Linked DNA regions of Arabidopsis thaliana. The protein of the gene in region 1 purifies or fractionates together with the protein of each later gene. This does not show direct contact. Each region holds a gene or a part of one and is shown on either strand. Other genes may lie near its edges. The genes, in order: FBR12 and WOL.

The links.
Region 2: the proteins of FBR12 (region 1) and WOL purify together in Arabidopsis thaliana (affinity purification with western blotting, with the first as the bait; one study listed by BioGRID). This does not show direct contact.

Annotation. Positions count from the first base shown.
Region 1 is NC_003070.9:9,203,900-9,208,188, reverse strand, and holds FBR12 (Eukaryotic translation initiation factor 5A-1 (eIF-5A 1) protein), read right to left. Parts: upstream 2,390-4,289; 5' UTR 2,222-2,389; coding exon 2,102-2,221; intron 1,738-2,101; coding exon 1,615-1,737; intron 1,518-1,614; coding exon 1,461-1,517; intron 1,373-1,460; coding exon 1,298-1,372; intron 1,218-1,297; coding exon of another isoform or gene 1,196-1,217; coding exon 1,091-1,195; 3' UTR 772-1,090; downstream 1-771. Other genes in the region: AT1G26640 (Amino acid kinase family protein), read left to right, coding at 1-35, 110-172, 269-372, 474-569. UniProt on the Arabidopsis thaliana protein: Translation factor that promotes translation elongation and termination, particularly upon ribosome stalling at specific amino acid sequence contexts.
Region 2 is NC_003071.7:362,389-370,417, reverse strand, and holds WOL (CHASE domain containing histidine kinase protein), read left to right. Parts: upstream 1-2,060; 5' UTR 2,061-2,401; coding exon 2,402-2,463; exon of another isoform or gene 2,464-2,981; coding exon 2,982-3,531; intron 3,532-3,711; coding exon 3,712-3,948; intron 3,949-4,041; coding exon 4,042-4,211; intron 4,212-4,386; coding exon 4,387-4,605; intron 4,606-4,686; coding exon 4,687-4,925; intron 4,926-5,018; coding exon 5,019-5,248; intron 5,249-5,326; coding exon 5,327-5,425; intron 5,426-5,508; coding exon 5,509-6,713; intron 6,714-6,854; coding exon 6,855-7,086; 3' UTR 7,087-7,435; downstream 7,436-8,029. UniProt on the Arabidopsis thaliana protein: Cytokinins (CK) receptor related to bacterial two-component regulators. Also binds the synthetic urea-type cytokinin thidiazuron, a potent defoliant and herbicide. Functions as a histidine kinase and transmits the stress signal to a downstream MAPK cascade.

The DNA.
Region 1 (4,289 bases):
TTCAGAGCCCGACGCTGTGCTCTTGAAAGAGATCGGTTAGTTTCAAACTTTACTGTTTGTTTTTTTTATATCTTTTCCAGACTTGGCCTGATACTAACAGTTCATGCAGCTGTTGGAGAAGATGGAAGCTGGAAGGTTGTGAATCCACTGTTGGAGCACACAGACAAGAAAGGTAAACGAAAGAACCAATGTTGTAAAACTATGCAATACAATAAGTCTGAGGGATTTGTTAAAAGTTCAAACCTCTCTGATTTTTGGAATCAAACAGTTGACTACTCTGTTGCGGCGCACGATACAACCGGTGGAATGGAAACGAAGATATCAGAAGCTGCTATGATTGCAAAACTTGGAGTCGATGTCTACATTGTGAAGGTAGATTATAGACAACTTTTGCCTTTAACCAACTAAATATCTTAGATAAAGATGGAGCTTTTAACCGCCATCATGCTCTTTTTTTCAATCTCCTCAAACAGGCTGCGACAACTCATTCACAGAGAGCACTAAACGGTGATTTGAGAGATAGTGTTCCTGAAGATTGGCTTGGTACTATCATCAGATTCTCAAAGTAGAATAATCTCCTGACAAATACACTAATTCCAGTTCCTCAACAAAGGAAAGCATTGACCTTTTCTTGCTATTACTGTTTTACCAGACTTTGTGCAAGGAATACAAAATCGTGTAATGTCAAAACCAGTTAAAATGTCGAATACTATCGCAGCCTGTGTAACTCTATGTTTCCACAAGTATTCAATCACATATCTTACACTGTTATTGTTAAATAAAATGTATATGTCACTCTTGAATCGTGCAAATAGCAATGAATATCATGTAAAGAGTTGCTTAAAACAAGCTTCATGAACAAACATATCCAGTGAACAAACAAAAAGTGGTTTTAAGAATAACATCTCATAAGAAACTTTGAATGTTTCAACACAAACTTTTCCAACAATCCAAAACCAATAGATATGGTTGTCTTGCAACAAGAAACACACACAAAGGGTCTAAATTAGGAAAAAGAAAAACATCTTTTGGTTCTTATAACATTGACGTCCGTTGTCAAACTGGTAATAATATATCGAATGATACTTGTTTACTTGCCACCACCAACTTCCTTGACGGCACAGATCTGCTCCTCTCCCATGGAAGACATGACAGACACCACAATATCCTTTCCCTCATCGAATCCAAGCCTCATCTGCATTAACAAAACACAACAACTGTTTTCAATATCACAATTCGAGAGATGAATACAAAGTCAAGTCATTTGTGTGCGAGTATGAAAAGACAAGAAAATAACCTGGGCGGTGAGACCATCATCGGTGGGAAGCTTGAGATCATCCTTGGTGCCACCACTGTCAGTGAGAAGGCTCACCTATAATGTAAACAAGTACAAAAGTTATGGCAAGAATAGATAAATAAAGCTGGAGTGATGAGGAAAGTGAGTATAAAGAAAAACATACGAAGCCATCCTCAGTGATATCAATCAACTGGTAATCAACACGGTTCACATGTGGAACCTGAGAAAAAAAGAGAAAGGAACAATATTTGAGTCAGATCACACAATCATATCAAATACTGTGAAAATGAATCTACATAGTTTGTGTAGTAACTTACATCACAATTGTGGGAAGATGGAACAATATCTTCAAGCTTCTTAGCAGTGAAGATATCAATAGCAACAAAGTGACATTTGGCGTGACCGTGCTTGCCAGTTTTGGAAGTCGAAACCTCAACAACCTAATCAAAACCAAAATATCAAAATCAAATCTATGTTCTCCATAAACGTTTAAATCAAATCAATCAATAGACTACTTAGATTCAAAATCACAAAAGGCGTCGTCTGATATTGCTTGATTTCTATCCATTTTTCATTTTCATTTCCCAAAATTCCACGAATCTAGAGAGGTACCACCATCAAAATAACAGGATAAGATTCATCATATTCATCTAAGTAGCGATCTATAAGAAAAATTCAAACTAAACAGAACCAGGTCAAATCCGAGGATAAAAACAAAATCAAGGAGCTACTATACAGAGACGAGATCTAGAATCAGGAAAAAGAGATCGAGAACGATGTTTGATGATGAAATAGAAATCAGACCTTGCAGGGACGGTTTTTGATGACGATGTGACCACCTTTACGGATGTTACCGGCTGATTGAGGATAGGTCTTGGAAGCTCCGGATTCGCTGGCCTCAAAGTGGTGCTCGTCGTCAGACATGTTTTCACAGAAATTTGAGAGAAGAAAGGTTTTCGGAGAAGATGAGATTGGGAGAAGGGAAAAAAAACCTAAGAGAGAGAAGTGAGCAAAAGCGATGTCGATTTTTTTTATATAGGAGGGGAAGAGGAAGGTGGAGGAAACCTTTCTAGGGTTACTGTATTATTATCCTTAGGAATGTTGTGGTGGGTAAAAACAATTCAGCCCAGCCCAAACTCAAAACAGGCCTCTTCATAAAAAAAAAAGGATTCAAAAAAACTGTATTTTATATAGATATTTTAAATTGTATTTATTTCTGTATTTGACATATATATTATATTCACTGTCATATGTATTTAAATTGAATCATGTATTTTGTATTTTGTATAAAAAACTTTATTTGTTACCCTTAATTGATTTTAATTCTTTAATTTAATCAAAGTTTCTAACAAATTTATAAATCCAAAATTCACTCAAACATTAATAATTTAAAAGATTATACAAAACAGAATTTCATCAAAGATTCTAATTTAAAACAGAAATACAAAAGTAGTGAAAAAATCTAAACAACTTCTAACATGGGTCTAAACTCTTTCCGAACATCAAACTTTAAGCGTTTATTAGAGTTAAATACCGTAGTAGCTGCTTGAGTAGATTGTGTTTCACTTTGTGTTGCTTCTCCTTAATTGTTTGCCTTCTCATTCATTGACATTTACTCATTCTCAGCATCCAAAGCTGCCAAAGTTTCTCTAGTTTGATAATTTATCCTATTTCTCAGCTGTTGGATTATAATCTCTCAACGATTTAGATTTTCCCGATTTTATTTTTTTCTCTCTCTTGCATCTCTCGCGTGCATTCCATGCGGCCCCACTTTAGCTTGTGACATCTAATTCCTCATATTACAGACTACATAACTAAAAAAATAGAGTTTTTTTTTACTCTAAAGGCGAGATTTAATTTTCAAAAAAAAAAATTCAGTTACATGAAATCTAGAATTATTTTTTGATTTAATAACTAAACTTAAAATGTAAAAAAAATAATTTAAAATTTTTAAGATATAGTAAAGAAATTATTTTTTTGTATTATTAATTAAAAATATTAACTTTTTCATTACAAAATAAATCACTACAATTAAATCCAATACACATGAGTATATGAATTTCATAAGAAACGAATATGAAAAACAATTGAGTATATAACTTTTTAGTCTAAATTTTGCACGATAAATTTTAAAATCAAAATTAAATTTAAATAAATATTTAATCAAATAAAAGTTAATATTTAATTGATAATATAACAAAAAAAAGCTAACTATTGATTAAAAATAGTAGTTTGATGCAACACTCAAGAGATCTTCAGTTTTGGTTATAGCTAGGGGTGTCAAAATAAGCTGATAGCTCATGAGCTGGCTCAACTCGGCTCAGTTATTCATGAGCGCGAGTTCTATTTTTAAGGATCATTTAATAAATGAGTTTAGTGATCGAGCTTTATTTAGCTCACGAGTTATATGAGCGAGCTTTAATGAACATGAGCTTGGTTTTTTTGAAGTAATATATACAAAAAGCTAACAATCAAAGTATATATATATTTTTCTATAAATAATAGAAATATATTTTAGAAAATATAGAAGTTACATAACAATTTCTGAAAATAAATATTAGTAATATACACAAAAAGTCAATAATCAAAACATAAATATTTATATAATCTATAAAAATAGAAATATATTTTTAAAAATATATAATTTACATAACAAGTTTAGAAAATATAAATTTTTTCATTTATTCGCATTAGCTCGCGAGCTAGCTCATTTAGCTCGTGATTTAGATGATCTGAGTCCGAGTTTGTATTTTGAAGCTCATATAATAAATGAGTTGAGCTGAGCTGGCTCATAAAAGATCCAAGTTCATCATGAGGTGAGCTGAGCTGAGCGAGCTGGCTCATTTTGACAATTATAGCCCTATAGACTAAGACTTGATGCTATTTTGGGCTTTTAGGAAGCTAAATCAAAGAGCATTTACGGCCCATTATGCTTGATGATATTTTGGGTATTTGGGAAACAAAACCAAATTCGAAAACCTCCACGAACATC
Region 2 (8,029 bases), on another chromosome or scaffold:
GGGATTCACACATTGTATTTTTGTTTTCAATTATTTTCGTTAGGTTTTAACCATTTATGTTTCTCTAAGGTCTAACCCAAACCCATTTGAGTTAAATTTTAATATATATATATATTAAAAAATAAAATAAAAGAACAAAAAAGAAAATAAAATAAATTCTTTTTCCTTTATAATATAAAGTACAAGTCCCTTGCCCAATAAAATTATGCCACATAAGATTTGTTTATAATTTAAAGAATTATTTAAAATTTTTTAAAAAAAAAACGCTCATTTTTTTTTTCTACATATTTAAAAACAAAAAAATATTCCTAGATTTTCTCACACACCACACCATCATTATCTTTGGAAATTTGTAACCAACTCAAGATTTTCCAAACCGTTTTATCTTCCTCTACAAAAATCCAATTCACGTTAAATCTATCTCTTGCTCTTGCTTCCTCCAAAAAAAAAAAAAAATCATTCCCAGATCCATCGATATGAAATTGTATAGAAAAAATGGTATTCGATCCAAGTTTATTGTCTTCTATTTTTCTTAGGTTAATTTCACTTTATTCCAGATTCATTGTTTGTTTTTTCTTTCTCGGAAGAGCACAATGTGAGTTTCACTGGCCTCTGTTATAAACATATATAGAAATCTGTAACAAAAATCATTACTAAAATTCTGTGACATGTGCAGCGATCAAAGAATCAATAGCGGAAAAAGAAACTACACTGCATTCATCTATGACTGAAAGCTTCTGATCAAGCCATGAAATTAAGGTATCCCAAACACGTATCTTCTCTATGTTTATCAATCTTGCTTTAAGTTCTAATTCTGCATATTTCAAAGGAACCATACAAGTGTTCCTAAAATCCATTTGAATATTCAAAAACTTCTCTCAAATATCATGTAGTTATAGAAGCTACTGTCTCTAAGCGCACGAGAGAAAGCTACACAACCCACGTCAGTTTCCATCTACACATATAAGGTAATAATAATATTTTCATGTATCTTTAATAATAGCTCTATGTTTTTTTCTGTATTTTTCATTATAAAACTCATAACTATGTTATCATTTAATATGGTACTAATTTAATGGGATTGATTTACTATTGCCTCAAACATGTAATAATTTAATGATTTTTTGTTTTTAACGTTTTTAGAAATTCATGAGCATTTTAAATTTGTGGTTAGGTCATAACAATTTGCTATTACAAAAAAAAGAAACACTCTAAATAATATAAAAAATAGTTTACCGTATAATACTAGTAGTAAATAAATAATTTGATTGTTATTCATAAATTTTGAATTCTAAAATCTCCTGAATCAACTCATGCAATTGTCTTAAGAATTACACGTGGATAAATCATGGGCTTATGAGTCAGGCCCATTTAACCGGGGTATTTTCGTAGTTAAGAGACTAGAATGGTGGGTATTTCAGGTAAAAGGTCTATGGGGCCAGATCTGCGCTTTGTCGCGATGTCATTATCGCCAAAGATATGCGATAGCGACTCTCGTACAAAGTCTCTCACTCACCTATATTTTTTGTTTTCTTATATTTCAACAAAAAAACGTTTTATTTTCCTTTTGGTGTAAGTAAAAAAACAAAACAAAACGTTTTATTTCTAAAGTTCAGAAAACTTATTTATACCAAGGAAAAAATAGATAATAAATTTTGAGAAGTTGGTGACTATATATTACTTCACTTATTCAAGAAATTTAAACATGGTAAATGTTACTTTAAATGTTAAATGATGTATAAGAAATGTAATGAAATTGAATAAATGTAGTTTTAAAGATGTTTTAATTAGTAAGACAAACCTAGTTAGTGTCACAATAATTATATTTTTTTTTTTGTCATCCAAAATTATTAAAGCTCAAGTAAACCAATCCTGAGGGATATTATTTACAAATGTGATATGATGCGGTTCGGTGCGGATCTTCCGCGCCAAATTATACGCTTTTATATTAGCATTATAAAAAATTATAGATAAAGAGAAGTTTGTGAATTCTTCATTGTCGCTTTGCAATTTCTCTAAATACACAGTAAATACCGACAATTCGGTTAGAGAAAATATATCTATTTCGTATAATAATGTTAACTTTGAGGAGATTTTGGGTAAAATAATAACTTTTGTTGGATGGATCATATCATGAGCCATTAAGAAAAAGTCCAAAACTTTTCTTCTTCAAAGTTGGACTCAAGTTAGAAAAAGAAAAAAGAGCTAGAGAGATATAAAAATGAAAAGAAAGTTCATGGCAAAAAACTGATATAGACAGAGACACAGAGAGAGAGAAACGTATCTGAAGAAAATCTAAAAAATTCGATTCAATTTTTTTCTTACTTTTAAAAGCAAAAAATCTCACTAAAACAAAAGAAGAAGAAAGAAGAAAGAAAATGGAATACCTACATTTGAAGTGATGAGAAGAGATTTTGTGTATAATAATAATGCAATGTTCAATCCTCTCACAACTCATTACAGGTAACTAAAATAATTTCTCCATGTGCTTGCTTATTAGTCGTTCTTCCTAATGTTATGTTTCTCTCTGTGTTCTTTCTTTCTTTGGTCAAAGCTTTAATTTTTTTTCTATTGTTGGATTTGAGACAGTGAACATAGCTATGTTCTTGTTCCAATAATAAACAATCACGCCTGTAAAGAGCTTATGATTGATTAGTGTGTTTTTTAGTATTAATTAATTTCTCTGACAATAATTACTTAGTTTTTAATTCTTCTCTGTAAGAAACCTTTGGAAACTGAGCAAAGTTGCTTCTTTTGAGAACCATGCGTTTCTTTCTCTCTTTTGTTCTTGAATTCGCAAAAACATGTCCTTTTTCGTCTACAGGTTTCTAGGGTTTGTTTCTGTACTATAAACTATGTTTATGGTAACATTCTTAATCATAACTACACTACCAATGCTTTTATGTTATATGTATGCAAAAAAGGCTCTAACTTTTGTTTTCTTTCACTATTGTTTCTTCTTTTGTTCTCTATTGTTGTAGCTCAGATATGAACTGGGCACTCAACAATCATCAAGAAGAAGAAGAAGAGCCACGAAGAATTGAAATTTCTGATTCCGAGTCACTAGAAAACTTGAAAAGCAGCGATTTTTATCAACTGGGTGGTGGTGGTGCTCTGAATTCGTCAGAAAAGCCGAGAAAGATCGATTTTTGGCGTTCGGGGTTGATGGGTTTTGCGAAGATGCAGCAGCAGCAACAGCTTCAGCATTCAGTGGCGGTGAAGATGAACAATAATAATAATAACGATCTAATGGGTAATAAAAAAGGGTCAACTTTCATACAAGAACATCGAGCATTGTTACCAAAAGCTTTGATTCTGTGGATCATCATTGTTGGGTTTATAAGCAGTGGGATTTATCAGTGGATGGATGATGCTAATAAGATTAGAAGGGAAGAGGTTTTGGTCAGCATGTGTGATCAAAGAGCTAGAATGTTGCAGGATCAATTTAGTGTTAGTGTTAATCATGTTCATGCTTTGGCTATTCTCGTCTCCACTTTTCATTACCACAAGAACCCTTCTGCAATTGATCAGGTCAGTGTGTGCTTTATTAAAAGCTCAAAGCTTTGGTGAAATTTTTGATTCATAAATGCAAAGTTGACTTTTTTTGGAACCAGAAGTTTTTGAAATTTACTCTTTTATGTTTGGTTATTGAGTAAATGAAGGGAAATTTAGGCCTTTGCTTTACTCATTGGTTTGTGGCTAATTTTGCAGGAGACATTTGCGGAGTACACGGCAAGAACAGCATTTGAGAGACCGTTGCTAAGTGGAGTGGCTTATGCTGAAAAAGTTGTGAATTTTGAGAGGGAGATGTTTGAGCGGCAGCACAATTGGGTTATAAAGACAATGGATAGAGGAGAGCCTTCACCGGTTAGGGATGAGTATGCTCCTGTTATATTCTCTCAAGATAGTGTCTCTTACCTTGAGTCACTCGATATGATGTCAGGCGAGGTAATATAAACATTATCAGACACTTATGGTTTTGTTTTTTCGGTTAAGTATCCGACCTGCACCTCTTCTGAATTTTGGCTATCTTTTCTGCAGGAGGATCGTGAGAATATTTTGCGAGCTAGAGAAACCGGAAAAGCTGTCTTGACTAGCCCTTTTAGGTTGTTGGAAACTCACCATCTCGGAGTTGTGTTGACATTCCCTGTCTACAAGTCTTCTCTTCCTGAAAATCCGACTGTCGAAGAGCGTATTGCAGCCACTGCAGGGTAAAGTTCCCATCTGATTACTGGAGCAAACTTTTGCTTGTGATCATGTAAAAAGAGATTTTCGAGATTTCATGATTGGTTTATGTGTGTGATCATGTAAAGGAAAGAGGTTTTTTGAGATTTCAAGATTGGTTTGTGTGTAAAGTAAAGATTGATGCTTGAATTTGAAATGCAGGTACCTTGGTGGTGCGTTTGATGTGGAGTCTCTAGTCGAGAATTTACTTGGTCAGCTTGCTGGTAACCAAGCAATAGTTGTGCATGTGTATGATATCACCAATGCATCAGATCCACTTGTCATGTATGGTAATCAAGATGAAGAAGCCGACAGATCTCTCTCTCATGAGAGCAAGCTCGATTTTGGAGACCCCTTCAGGAAACATAAGATGATATGCAGGTACCACACAGAAAATCTTAAAGCTAAAATACTCTCTGATATCTAAAAACTGATATCTTGTTTGAACAATTTCGAGTGCAGGTACCACCAAAAGGCACCAATACCGTTGAATGTGCTCACAACTGTGCCATTGTTCTTTGCGATTGGTTTCTTGGTGGGTTATATACTGTATGGTGCAGCTATGCACATAGTAAAAGTCGAAGATGATTTCCATGAAATGCAAGAGCTTAAAGTTCGAGCAGAAGCTGCTGATGTCGCTAAATCGCAGTTTCTTGCTACCGTGTCTCACGAGATCAGGACACCAATGAATGGCATTCTCGGTACTACATCTTCAAACAAATTCCAGTACTGTTGCCTTTCATCTTTGGTTTCTCAAACTGCCTCAAAGATTCTGTTTTAAAAATTTTCTGCAGGAATGCTTGCTATGCTCCTAGATACAGAACTAAGCTCGACACAGAGAGATTACGCTCAAACCGCTCAAGTATGTGGTAAAGCTTTGATTGCATTGATAAATGAGGTTCTTGATCGCGCCAAGATTGAAGCTGGAAAGCTGGAGTTGGAATCAGTACCATTTGATATCCGTTCAATATTGGATGATGTCCTTTCTCTATTCTCTGAGGAGTCAAGGAACAAAAGCATTGAGGTAAGTTTTCAATCCAAGGAATAAAGATACATCTATTTGGAGTTGTGGCTGCTAATTTCTTGATTTCAAATTTGGCAGCTCGCGGTTTTCGTTTCAGACAAAGTACCAGAGATAGTCAAAGGAGATTCAGGGAGATTTAGACAGATAATCATAAACCTTGTTGGAAATTCGGTTAAAGTTAGTCCCTATTTCAATCTCTGCCTTTGTTGGCAGCTTGTGTATATGATTTTTGTTTGATCAAGATGTTGTCTTTTTGACAGTTCACAGAGAAAGGACATATCTTTGTTAAAGTCCATCTTGCGGAACAATCAAAAGATGAATCTGAACCGAAAAATGCATTGAATGGTGGAGTGTCTGAAGAAATGATCGTTGTTTCCAAACAGTCAAGTTACAACACATTGAGCGGTTACGAAGCTGCTGATGGTCGGAATAGCTGGGATTCATTCAAGCATTTGGTCTCTGAGGAGCAGTCATTATCGGAGTTTGATATTTCTAGCAATGTTAGGCTTATGGTTTCAATCGAAGACACGGGTATTGGAATCCCTTTAGTTGCGCAAGGCCGTGTGTTTATGCCGTTTATGCAAGCAGATAGCTCGACTTCAAGAAACTATGGAGGTACTGGTATTGGTTTGAGTATAAGCAAGTGTCTTGTTGAACTTATGCGTGGTCAGATAAATTTCATAAGCCGGCCTCATATTGGAAGCACGTTCTGGTTCACGGCTGTTTTAGAGAAATGCGATAAATGCAGTGCGATTAACCATATGAAGAAACCTAATGTGGAACACTTGCCTTCTACTTTTAAAGGAATGAAAGCTATAGTTGTTGATGCTAAGCCTGTTAGAGCTGCTGTGACTAGATACCATATGAAAAGACTCGGAATCAATGTTGATGTCGTGACAAGTCTCAAAACCGCTGTTGTTGCAGCTGCTGCGTTTGAAAGAAACGGTTCTCCTCTCCCAACAAAACCGCAACTTGATATGATCTTAGTAGAGAAAGATTCATGGATTTCAACTGAAGATAATGACTCAGAGATTCGTTTATTGAATTCAAGAACCAACGGAAACGTTCATCACAAGTCTCCGAAACTAGCTCTATTCGCAACAAACATCACAAATTCGGAGTTCGACAGAGCTAAATCCGCAGGATTTGCAGATACGGTAATAATGAAACCGTTAAGAGCAAGCATGATTGGGGCGTGTCTGCAACAAGTTCTCGAGCTGAGAAAAACAAGACAACAACATCCAGAAGGATCATCACCCGCAACTCTCAAGAGCTTGCTTACAGGGAAGAAGATTCTTGTGGTTGATGATAATATAGTTAACAGGAGAGTAGCTGCAGGAGCTCTCAAGAAATTTGGAGCAGAAGTGGTTTGTGCAGAGAGTGGTCAAGTTGCTTTGGGTTTGCTTCAGATTCCACACACTTTCGATGCTTGCTTCATGGATATTCAAATGCCACAGATGGACGGGTAACTAAATCACAACTAATACTATTTTTGGATTATTCGGTTTTTGAATTGTTCGGTATGAAAAATTTCCCGCCAAATTATAACTGACTTGGTTTGGTTCGGATTCGGTTAAAATCTTTTATAAACTTCATTGATTCTCAGATTTGAAGCAACTCGTCAGATAAGAATGATGGAGAAGGAAACTAAAGAGAAGACAAATCTCGAATGGCATTTACCGATTCTAGCGATGACTGCGGATGTGATACACGCGACCTACGAGGAATGTCTGAAAAGTGGGATGGATGGTTACGTCTCCAAACCTTTTGAAGAAGAGAATCTCTATAAATCCGTTGCCAAATCATTCAAACCTAATCCTATCTCACCTTCGTCGTAATCCAATCTTCCGGCGAGTTTTTTTTCTCTCTCCGCAGCCGGAAGAGTGGACCGATTCTGCTGATTGATATGCATTTTGGTTTCTGTACATACAGTAGGTTCACAATCTAGAGATTTTGAAGGTTTTTTTTTCTTTCACCGAAGTAATGTAGCTTGCCATGACTAGTGTATGTTGTTAAACGACAACGTCTAAGACGACGGTTCAGTGTTGATCTTAGCGTAAGTATTAATCCCACGGGATCGTTTGTACTGTATCAGATTTGGTTAGTCGTTTAAACATTGTAATGTTCTAATAATAACTTTTCCATATATAACATCTTCTTATAACTTGAGACGAGACCATTTTGATTCATCTTTTGAGCTTGTTTAGCAACCAAATCGGTTAGCTAGTTGAACGAAGATCAGAGAAAGAGCTCAAACAACTCTTCATTAGCTATAGCTCAGTCGACGACTTGAGCTTTCAAACAACAGAAACAGAGCAAAGCTTAAAAACGACTGCGTTTTACTATTGGTTCGTCGATCTCACTAAACCGAGTGAGATAACCAAAGCCAATCAACAACCCTTTAATCGGATCTCTCGATGTAATCTATAAAGGATGAGAAGAATTAGGAACTTGTCCAAGAAGAGTATATAGAAAATATCTGACTTTTTGTTTGTTTTTTATATACTCTATCGACTTATTTTATCAGTTTCAGTAGGAACGCAACGAAATACTACAGAATGAATTTCTCCCGATTTAGGTAGAATTGGATCACCACACTGTTAGGTTCTAATTTGAAATGCCTTCCGACTAATACCAAGGATAATCATACCGTCTGCATTTCTAACTACCAAATAAATTAATTGGACCAAATCACAACTGAGAGACTTTCTAAACAAATTTGTTATTGTTTTCATGAAAAATCAAACTCAGGTATAGGAGTTAAAGTTTCCTTGTGCCACT